3 linked regions of the Anolis sagrei genome follow. The protein of the gene in region 1 interacts with the protein of each later gene in a pairwise test. Links are inferred from orthologs where the notes say so. Each region holds a gene or a part of one and is shown in the gene's direction. Other genes may lie near its edges.

Region 1 (3,750 bases):
CCAGGTGTGGTCTAACCAAGGCAGAATAGGGCTAAACATGCCTGGCTCTTTAAGCCGCTCCTCATAGGGCTTGTTCTCCAGACCCTTGATCATTTTAGTCACCCTCAACACCCCTCTTCAATTGTGGTGCCCAGAATTGGACACAATATTCCAGGTGTGGTCTAACCAAGGCAGAACAGGGCTAAACATGCTGAGCTCTTTAAGCCGCTCCTCATAGGGCTTGTCCTCCAGACCCTTGATCATTTTTAGCCGCCCTCCTCTTGACACGTTCCAGCTTGTCATCCCACTTCAATTGTGGTGCCCAGAATTGGACACAATATTCCAGGTGTGGTCTAACCAAGGCAGAATAGGGCTAAACATGCCTAGCTCTTTAAGCCGCTCCTCATAGGGCTTGTTCTCCAGACCCTTGATCATTTTAGTTGCCCTCCTCTGGACACATTCCAGCTTGTCAACACCCCTCTTCAATTGTGGTGCCCAGGATTGGACACAATATTCCAGGTGTGGTCCAACCAAGGCAGAACAGGGCTAAACATGCCCAGCTCTTTAAGCCGCTTCTCATAGGGCTTGTTCTCCAGACCCTTGATCATTTTAGTCACATTCCAGCTTGTCAACACCCCTCTTCAATTGTGGTGCCCAGGATAGGACACAATATTCCAGGTGTGGTCGAACCAAGGCAGAAGAGGGCTAAACATGCTGAGCTCTTTAAGCCGCTCCTTATAGGGCTTGTTCTCCAGACCCTTGATCACTTTAGTTACCCTCCTCTGGACACATTCCAGCTTGTCAACACCCCTCTTCATTTGTGGTGCCCAGAATTGAACACAATATTCCAGATGTGGTCTAACCAAGGCAGAATAGGGCTAAACATGCTGAGCTCCTTAAGCCGCTCCTCATAGGGCTTGTTCTCCAGACCCTTGATCATTTTAGCCTCCCTCTGTTTTAGGCCAATTTGGAGCCTTATTAGAGTACTAGAAAACAATAATCCTATGATTCCACAGCATTAAAGTGGTGTCAAACCGAATTAATTCCACAGTGTAGCCTGGAAAGTGACTTTTGGGGGGGGGGGGGGACTACAATTACCACAATGTTGACAAGGATTCTGGAAAGTGTGATTTAAAAAAACAAAACCAAGCCATTTTCCCTGCCCTCTGCATGCACTCAGAGACACCCTTCTCGGTTACCACTTCCGGGTTTAATGCCTGGCCTGACCCCTCTTTTTTCTTTTCTTCCCTTCTGTCACGTGCGATCCTTCCCAACCCGAGGAGATCATGCGCGCCTTTGAAAAATTGAGAAAGAGGGTCATATGATCGCCTCTGCCAAGACCCACTGCGGTAGGATGGGCCCAAGCTGCGAACCAGCCAATCAAATACGAGGAACCGGCGTTCTACCTACCTACGCCACGCCCCCCTGGGGAAAAACAACCAATCCCCTTGCGGTAGGAAGAGAGTGCATTCTCTGAGCCAGTCTGTGCATTAGCGGGTTGGAACTGGCTGCAGTGGGAAAGCCTGGGTGAGTTGTGTTTACATTGGAATTGTATAGAATACTTTTCAAAATCACTGTTAGGCGTTTTGAGTTTAGTTAAGAGAGCAAAAGCGGCATATAGATCAAAGTAATGATGATGATGATGATAGTAGTTGTAGTAGAAATTATAATAATAATCATCATAATAATAGTTGTAGTAATGATAGAGTAATAATAATAATAATAATAATAATAATAACTAGCTGTCCCCTGCCATGCGTTGCTGTGGCCCAGTCTGGTGATCTGGAAAATAAAGTAATGAGAAAGTGTTGGTTCCTAATATATGTAATTTATTTATACTTGTGGATAAACAGTATTTTTGCTGTATTGTCGAAGGCTTTCATGGCTGGAATCACTAGGTTCTTGTGGGTTTTTTCGGGCTATATGGCCATGTTCTAGAGGCATTTTCTCCTGACGTTTCGCCTGCATCTATGGCAAGCATCCTCAGAGGTAGTGAGGTCTGTTGGAGTTTGGAAAATGGGTTTATTTATATATCTGTGGAATGACTGGGGTGGGGCAAAGTGCTCTTCTCTGCTGGAGCTAGGTGTGAATGTTTCAACTGACCACCTTGGTCATGTTTCAACTGACTGGTCATGTTTCAACTGACCAATGAGCATTTGAAGGCCTAGCTGAGCCTGGGGGAATCTTTTGTTGAGAGGTGTTAAGATGTGCCTGGTTGTTTCCTCTCTGCTGTTTTGCTGTTGTAATTTTAGTTTTTTTAAATACTGGTAGCCAGATTTTGATTCCCCCAGGCTCAGCCAGGCCTTCAAATGCTAATGAAGACGGTCAGTTGAAACATTCACACCTAGCTCCAGCAGAGAAGAGCTCTTTGTCCAACCCCAGTCATTCCACAGAAATATAAACCCATGTTCCAAACTCCAACAGACCTCACTACCTCTGAGGATGCTTGCCATAGATGCAGGCGAAATGTCAGGAGAAAATGCCTCTAGAACGTGGCCATATAGCCCGAAAAAAACCCACAAGAACCTAGTATTTCTTGCTGTTTCTTTGTCAGTGTTGATGTGGAGATTATCTGGTTTGCCCACCCTGGAACATGCAACATAGAATTGTCCTTCTTTAGGGGTTCCTTTCAAATCTATGATACTATATCTCTCTCTGTGAATCATATATATATCTATAGCTGGATGGCTCTTTGTCAGGAGGGCTTTGATTATTTTTTCTTGCCCTGGTGAAGGGAGTTGGACTGGATGGCCATAAGTATTTTCTGTTGGTCATGGGGGTTCTGTGTGGGAAGTTTGCCCCAATTCTGTCATTCGTGGGGTTCAGAATGCTCTTTGATTGTAGGTGAACTATAAATCCCAGTAACTACAAATCCCAAATGTCAAGTTCTCTTTTCCCCAAACTCCATCTGTGCTCACATTTGGGCATATGGAATATTCGTGCCAAGTTTGGTCCAGATCCATCATTGTTTGAGTCCACAGTGCTCGCTGGATGGAGGTGAACTACAACTCCCAAATTCAAGGTCAATGCTCATCAAAACCTTCTAGTGTTTTCTGTTGATCATGGGAGTCCTGTGTGCCACGTTTGGTTCAATTCCCTCATTGGTGGAGTTCAGAATGCTCTTTGATTGTAGGTTAACTATAAAGCCCAGCAACTACAACTCCCAAATGACAAAATCAATTTTTTGAGTGATTGTCACTCGTTGGCCTGATAGGTATCTTGTGTCCAAATTTGGTGTCAATTCGTCCAGTGGTTTTTGAGTTATGTTAATCCCACAAACGAACATTACAATTTTTATTTATATAGATATATCAGCCATGATAGGCAACAAATGCCTTCCTGTTCAGTGAGAGATTTGAAGTATAGCCAGCTAGGGACTCCTGCTTTCTCATTTCCTGGCTTCCAGAATGCATCTACACTGTAGAATTAAAGCAGTTTGATACCACTTTAACTGCCATGACAATACTATGGAGTTATGGGTATTGTAGAATTTACAAGGTCATTCTTTAGCCTTTTCTGCCAAGGAGTGCTGGTGCCTCACCAAACTGATTCCTCACAGTTAAAGTGGTACCAAACTGCATTAACTCTACAGTGTAGATGCCCCCTGGGTTAGATGGAACTGATCTGTGTTGTTATGGTTGGCGGCATCTACGCGATGGAATTAATGCAGTTTGGAACTACTTTAACTGCCAATGCTGTAGAACCATAGGAACTGTTATCTTCAGTTATCTCTGCCGAAAAGTATGCAGGATTGCATAGCATTGAGCCTTG
Region 2 (3,750 bases), on another chromosome or scaffold:
CAACCTTAAAAACTCTGGCATAGACACTGAGAACTGGGAAGCCCTGGCCCTTGAGCGCTCCAGCTGGAGGACAGCTGTGACCAGCAGTGCTGCAGAATTTGAGGAGGCACGAGTGGAGGGTGAAATAGTGAAATGTGCCAGGAGGAAGGCGCGTCAAGCCAACCCCGACCGGGACCACCTTCCACCTGGAAACCAATGCCCTCACTGCAGAAGAAGATGCAGAGCAAGAATAGGGCTCCACAGCCACATACGGACCCACAAGGAAATCCATAATGGAAGACCATCTTACTCGTCCAACGAGGGATCGCCTAAGTAAGTAAGTAATTGGCAATCTGGTCTCTGGTTCCTCTGCCTTTTCTAAACCCAGCTTGAACATCTGGCAACTCTCGCTCCATGTGTTGCTGGAGTCTTCCTTGCAGGATCTTCAGCATTACCTTACTGGCATGAGAAATAAGGGCCACTGTACGGAAGTTTGATGCTAGCGGGGTACAAATAAAGATAATAATAATAATAATAATAATAATGACTCTCTGCCCCGGAGTGTGGCGGAGGCTCTTTCTTTGGAGGCTTTTAAGCAGAGGCTGGATGGCCACCTGTCGGGGGTGCGTTGAATGCGATTTTCCTGCTTCTTGGCAGGGGGTTGGATTGCATGGCCTCTTTCAACTCTTATGATTCCTCCTCCGCCCTGCTCCTTTCTTAATGCCCTCCCCGCCCACTTCCAGAGCGAAGGGTCCCTTCAGTGTGGCTGAGACTAGAGGTCTGAAAGGCCAGGGCGCGCGCTCCCGCGAGGCCCTCCTTCGGTGTGCGCGCGCCCCCGAGTCCCAGCCGGGCTTGGTTCTCCGTCCGTCCCTCGGCGCGCGCACTTGCCCGCGCGCCCAGCCAGCCAGCCAGCCAACCATCCATCCAGCCAGCCAGAAGGGATTCCTGGCCGCGTTCCAGGTCGGCGCACTAATACAAGCTCCGAGGCTCCCGCCTGACTGACGCCGGCTGGAGGCTGCTTGCTTGCTTGCTTGCCTGCCTGCCTGCCTCGTTGCTTGCGGCCGCTTCTTCTTCGTCTTCTTCCTCCTCCTCCTCCTCTTGCGGGGCGATTTCGTAGCCGCGTCCCTCCTTCCAGTTGGCCAAGGGAGGGGGCAAAAAGGGGAGCCGCTCTTGCAGAAATTGCCGCAGCCCTACGGACAGAATCGCCCTCCGGACAGGTAGGACAGAGGGGGCTGGGGAATGGGTATTATTATTATTCTGTGAATGCAAAACAATACAAGAATTGGCACGGATCCTTTTCCTTTCCTTTCTGTCGCACCTTCCTGCTCTCTCAACTTTGCAAACTTTTTTTTTCTCTCCCTTTGGCACCGCGTCTCAGGCATCTTCCAGGAAGGTGCGAAGCTGTGAAGCGGACCCTCGGGAGGACTGTGTGTTTGGCAGCCGCTGCCCCGGGATTCCTTGGAAGGGGCTTCCCCTCGCCTTGCATTGCGTGGCTCACCCAAACCCCGGAGGCAGGCTGTCCCAGGGGGGAAAAAAGTAGACACCTTTGAACAGCTAATAGGAACTCTGGGGTTTAGTTGAAGGCTAAGGAAAGGCATGCATATGGAAGGAGGAATGTTAGAGGAGGGATTGCATCAGGGCTACGAATGGAATCGTCAACTACAGGTGTCTGAATTGTCCTTCTGCAGCAAGGCACTGGCTTGCATTGTCCAGAGTCCAGGCTTGGGCCAACTTGTTCCCTCCTTCCTGGTATTTTGGACTTCAACTCCCACCATTCCTAACAGCCTCAGGCCCCTTCCTTTCCCCCCTCAGCCGCTTAAGCGGCTGAGGGGGAAAGGAAGGGGCCTGAAGCTGTTAGGAATGGTGGGAGTTGAAGTCCAAAACACCAGGAAGGAGGGGCCAAGTTTGCCATTGCCCTATCCAGACTCTGAGTTGCAAACCTCTCTTCAAACTACCTGGTCATTTTCCCACACTTTCCTACCATTGGAATCCTTCATGTATTCTTTGTTGTCCAAGGCTTTCATGGCTGGAATCACTGGGTTGCTGTGAGTTTTCCGACCTGTCTGACCATGCTACAGAAGCGTTCTCTCCTGACGTTTCGCAGGCATCCTTTGAGGTTGCGAGGTCTGTTGGAAAGTAAGCAAGTTAAGTTTCTATATCTGTGGAATGTCCCAGATGGGAGAAAGAACTGTTGTCTGCTTGAGGCAGGTGTGAACGTTGCAGTTGGCCAACTTTATTAGTTTTGAATGGCCTTGGGTAATTGTATGATAGCTGGGTCCACCTGCTACGAGTGTTACGCTGTTTCCGCTCCACTCCTTGGAAACTATTGTTGGTGCAACGCAGAACACAACACATGACCGAGACAGGGGCGGAGTGAGAGACTGAGGTAATGTAAGCCAGGCCGGACACAGATATTATAGAAGGAATGTAAGAGTCTTTTAATGGTAAAACCCATACCCAAATGCTAAACCTTACCCTAAGCTTAACCCCAAATCCTAAACCTAACCTTAAACTGGAATGTGTCCAGAGGAGGGCGACTAAAATGATCAAGGGTCTGGAGAACAAGCCCTATGAGGAGCGGCTTAAGGAGCTGGGCATGTTTAGCCTGAAGAAGAGAAGGCTGAGAGGAGATATGATAGCTATGTATAAATATGTGAGAGGAGCCACAGGGAGGAGGGAGCAAGCTTGTTTTCTGCTTCCTTGGAGACTAGGACGCAAAACAATGGCTTCAAACTACAAGAAAGGAGATTCCATCTGAACATGAGGAAAAACTTCCAGACTGTGAGAGCCATTCAGCAGTGGAACTCTCTGCCCCAGAGTGTGGCTTCTTCTTTGGAAGTTTTTAAACAGAGGCTGGATGGCCATCTGTCAGGGGTGATTTGAATGCAATATTCCTGCTTCTTGGCAGGGGTTGGACTGGATGGCCCATGAGGTCTCTTCCAACTCTTTGATTCTATGATTCTATGAAACCTAACCCTAAACCTTACTCTAACCCTAAACCTTATCCTAACCCTCCCTTCCTTTCTATCCTTCCACCAAATGCAACTACGAAATATATTCCCGCCCTCACTGTGGCGCTCTCCCCGCTCTCATTCCGCCCCTCTCTCAACCATGTGATCCCTTTCCTTATTCACAACCACCTTTACAGCATCTGCATAATGCTCGTAGCAGGCGGACCCAGCTATCTTACTATCGGCTATCCTTACAGCTGGGCTGTACAGGCCAATGCAAATTCCACCACATTTGTTTATTTATAAATAAATAAGTAAATGTGGTGGCTCCCAAACATGAATCAAGGCACAGCAGACTAACTCAACCAGAGAAGTCAGCCATAGCAGAGCACCTGATGAACCAACCTGGACATAGCATATTATTTGAGAACACAGAAATGCTGGACCACTGTAACAACTACCATGTCAGAGAAGCCAATGAAATCCACATTTATTTATTTATCTATTGTATCTGGAGCGAACCAAGGGTACAGTTGTGATGTATGCATTTAAAAACACAAAATTTAAAATCTTGGCATTCTATTAAATGCCAAGTAGCTGGTCACTTGGAGTGCCTCTGGTGTTGCTCTAAACTCAATTTTTCATATGGCAGGGCTCAGAATGCATTGTAATAGGTGGTTTGTAGTTTGCTCTTCTCCACACTCACATGTCATGGGCTCCATCTTGTGGCCCCATTTCTTAAGGTTGGCTCTTCATCTCATGGTACCACAGCATAGTCTGTTCAGCGTCTTCTAAGTCACCCTGTCTTCTGTGTGCCCAG
Region 3 (3,750 bases), on another chromosome or scaffold:
CCTTGATCATTTTAGTCGCCCTCCTCTGGACACATTCCAGCTTGTAGAAATCTTCGTGAGTCTCCGAAATCTTCGTGAAATCTTCGTCATCTCTCTTCAATTGTGGTGCCCAGAATTGGACACAATATTCCAGGTGTGGTCTAACCAAAGCAGAATAGAGGGGTAGCATTACTTCCCTAGATCTAGACACTATGCTCTTATTGATGCAGGCCAAAATCCCACTGGCTTTTTTTGCCGCCACATCACATTGTTGGCTCATGTTTAACTTGTTGTCCACGGGGACTCCAAGATCTTTTTCACACATACTGCTCTTGAGCCAGGCATTGTCCCCCATTCTATATCTTTGCATTTTGTTTTTCCTGCCAAAGTGCAGTATCTTGCATTTTTCACTGTTGAACTTCATTTTGTTAGTTTTGGCCCATCTCTCTAGTCTGTCAAGATCGTTTTGAGTCACTTAAATGGGTCACTTTGGGAACCATTGCTGTCCAAGACTGTTACAACAGTTTTGGGTATGTGGATATATACCACCGAAGACAAAATTTTACTCAAACGGGTTTTTGGCTCTTTGGAAGAGCATACTTGTACGAAAGATTATGATTTTCAAATGGTTGTGAATGCCATTTGTTTCCCAAAAGGTTATGGAGATTTTGGTTTTTCAAAATATCCTGTGCCAGCAATGTCCCTCTGCAGTTTGCATTGGACAAACACTTCCATCCTAGGCCTCCTCCAACTAGCTATTTGGGCCTCCAACTCCCAGAATTCCTAACCATTGAAGAAGCTGGCGAGGGCTTCTGGGAGTTGGAGACCCACACTGCAGGAGAAGGCCTGCTCTATATGCAGGAAGGGAATGGACACAAATCAGGCGGTAGAACTGGAGAGGGAGGGAGTGAGGGGGAGGCGTCCCGATTCCTATCCTTCTCTCCCTGAGGCCGTGATAAGGCTCACATAAGGTATAACTATTTACTTCATTGACTGCCGACTCCTAGACTGTTACACGTCCGCCATTCCCATTCCCAGAGAAGGCCTCAACACCGGAAGCGGAACATATTTTCCCTTTTCCGCTTCCCGCTCTCGCTCGCTCTGTTTTCGGGGCAGGAGAGGCAAGCCGAGCAGCGTCATGCGCATGCGCAGTTCTTTTTTCTCCACTGCCATCTTGCCCGAAGAGGAGGAGGAGGAGGAGGAGGAGGCCGCCCTGAGGGTGAGTGCAGAGCTCCTCCTCAGACTTCTTCGGGAAGGGCCCGAAGTTGCTCCGGGAGGGGAAGGAAGGGCAAGGCAGGGCTGCCATGGCGGCTTTTGGGACAAGGCTCAACCCCCCCCCCCCCGGCCTGAGGACATTCAAACAAGGCTCTAATTGTGTTGTCGAAGGCTTTTATGGTCGAAAACACTGGGTTGCTGTGAGCTTTTTCGGGTTGTATGGCCATGTTCCTGTAGCATTCTCTCCTGACGTTTCGCCTGCATCTGTGGCAGGCATCCTCAGATGTTCTGTTGATGGTGAGGCAAGTGGAATGTCTATACTTCCTGACTGTGAGAGCCGTTCAGCAGTGGAACTCTCTGCCCCAGAGTGTGGTAAAGGCTCCTTCTTTGGAAGTTTTGAAACAGAGGCTGGATGGCCATCTGTCGGGGGTGCTTTGAATGCATTTTTCCTGCTTCTTGGCAGGGGGTTGGACTGGCTGGCCCATGAGGTCTCTTCCAACTATATGATTCTATCTCTCAGAGATGCGCCCAGCTCTGTTCAACATCTTTATTAATGTATTGTCGAAGGCTTTCATGGCCGGAATCACTGGGTTGTTGTAGGTTTTTTCGGGGTATATGGCCATGGTCTAGAGGCATTCTCTCCTGACGTTTCGCCTGCATCTATGGCAAGCATCCTCAGAGGTAGTGAGGTCTGTTGGAACTAGGAAAAAGGGTTTATATATCTGTGGAATGACCAGGGTGGGACAAAGGACTCTTGTCTGCTGGAGCTAGGTGTGAATGTTTCAACTGACCACCTTGATTAGCATTTGATGGCCTGACAGTGCCTAGAGCAAACTTTGTTGAGAAGTAATTAGATGTCCTTGTTTGTTTCCTCTCTGTTGTTGTGCTGTTGTAATTTTAGAGTTTTAATACTGGTAGCCAGATTTTGTTCATTTTCATGGTTTCCTCCTTTCTGTTGAAATTGTCCACATGCTTATGTATTTCAATGGCTTCTCTGTGTAGCCTGACGTGGTGGTTGTGAGAGTGGTCCAGCATTTCTGTGTTCTCAAATAAAATGCTGTGTCCAGGTTGGTTCATCAGGTGGATTTATGAGGAAACACAACATACAAACTATCTACAGACCCACCAAAAAATCCAACAAATGCTACGTTCAGTAAAGGACAAGAGGGATCCTCTCACTTCTGCAGGAGTCTACCGTGTACCATGTAGCTGTGGACAAGTCTACATAGGGACCACCAAACACAGCATTGCCCAAACACGAATCAAGGAACATGAAAGGCACTGCAGACTACTTCATCCAGAGAAGTCAGCCATAGCAGAGCACCTGATGAAAAACATGAAATGCAAAGCTACAGGATGTGTGACGCTTAGTTCAAGAACAGTCCATGTGAGACAGATCTTGGAGTCTTCGTGGACAACAAGTTGAACATGAACCAACAAAGCCAATGGGATTTTGGGCTACATCAAAAGGAATCTAGTGTCTAGATTGAGGAAAGTCATGATGCCTTTGTATTCTGCTTTGGTTAGACCTCAGTTGGAATACTGTCTCCAATTCTGGGCACCACTATTGTTGTTGCTGTTGCTGTTGTTGTTGTTGTTATTATTATTATATTTATTTCTATCCCGCTTTTCTCCTGCGATGGTACTCAAAGAGGCATAAAGCATGTAAAATCAAGACAATTACAAACAAAAAATACAAACATGAACTCCAACTAATGAGAAATTAACAATTTAAGACATTAAAACATTAAACTCCCATTACCTATGACAGCTAGCATAAAACTAGCATAGCAACATAAATTAAAAACATACCAGTTAAACCCATGTAATGTCCTATTAATTTATGCCATGAAACAAACCAGTTACTGACGGTCTACTATATAGTTGACATATTGCACATCAGAATGCCTGTCAATCTACTGGTCTTCGTTGGGGAGACCAGTAGAAATAACTGGTCTCCCCAACTTGCTTCCGAAATAACAGCAGTGAGGGGGCTGTACTAACCATTTTTGGGAGGGAGTTCCAGAACTGCGGGGCCACCATTGAAAAGGCTCTCTCTTATTCTCACCAGCCGTGCTTGAGATGATGGTGGGACCGAGAATAGGGCCTCTCCTGATTACCTTAGGGCTCATATGGGCTCATAGGAGGAGATGCAGTCCAATAAGTACGCTGGGCCCCAACTGTTTAGGGCTTTATAGATTAAAGCCAGCACCTTGAATTGCGTCCACAAACAAACTGGCAGCCAGTGTAGTTGTTTTAGGAGAGGGGTAGTTCTTTCCCTATACTCTGCTCCTGTGAGCAATCTGGCAGCTGACCTTTGCACCAGTTGAAGTTTCTGAACGCCCCTCTAGCACAGACCTACCTAGAGTGCGATACAGTAATCTAAAATGGATGTGACTAAGGTGTGTATCACCATGGTCAGTTCCACCATGGCCACTTCAAAAGCAATATTGACAAGCTGGAAGGTGTCCAGAGGAGGGCCTCTAAAATGATCAAAGTTCTTGAGATTGTAAGTATCTGTGAGGAGCGGTTTAAAGAGCTGGGCATGTTTAGCCT

What was found.
Region 2: the proteins of GRN (region 1) and SMAD9 interact in binary tests that used the Homo sapiens proteins (3 or more experiments, as listed by UniProt). The link is inferred for Anolis sagrei from reciprocal best matches to the Homo sapiens genes GRN and SMAD9.
Region 3: the proteins of GRN (region 1) and PRKAB2 interact in binary tests that used the Homo sapiens proteins (3 or more experiments, as listed by UniProt). The link is inferred for Anolis sagrei from reciprocal best matches to the Homo sapiens genes GRN and PRKAB2.

The regions. Positions count from the first base shown.
Region 1 is NC_090026.1:47,779,045-47,782,794, reverse strand, and holds the start of GRN (progranulin), read left to right. Parts: upstream 1-1,424; 5' UTR 1,425-1,506; intron 1,507-3,750. UniProt on the Homo sapiens protein: Secreted protein that acts as a key regulator of lysosomal function and as a growth factor involved in inflammation, wound healing and cell proliferation. Regulates protein trafficking to lysosomes, and also the activity of lysosomal enzymes.
Region 2 is NC_090023.1:35,686,619-35,690,368, reverse strand, and holds the start of SMAD9 (mothers against decapentaplegic homolog 9), read left to right. Parts: upstream 1-903; 5' UTR 904-1,196; intron 1,197-3,750. UniProt on the Homo sapiens protein: Transcriptional modulator activated by BMP (bone morphogenetic proteins) type 1 receptor kinase. SMAD9 is a receptor-regulated SMAD (R-SMAD).
Region 3 is NC_090024.1:132,489,356-132,493,105, reverse strand, and holds the start of PRKAB2 (5'-AMP-activated protein kinase subunit beta-2), read left to right. Parts: upstream 1-1,088; 5' UTR 1,089-1,198; intron 1,199-1,366; exon of another isoform or gene 1,367-1,491; intron 1,492-3,750. UniProt on the Homo sapiens protein: Non-catalytic subunit of AMP-activated protein kinase (AMPK), an energy sensor protein kinase that plays a key role in regulating cellular energy metabolism.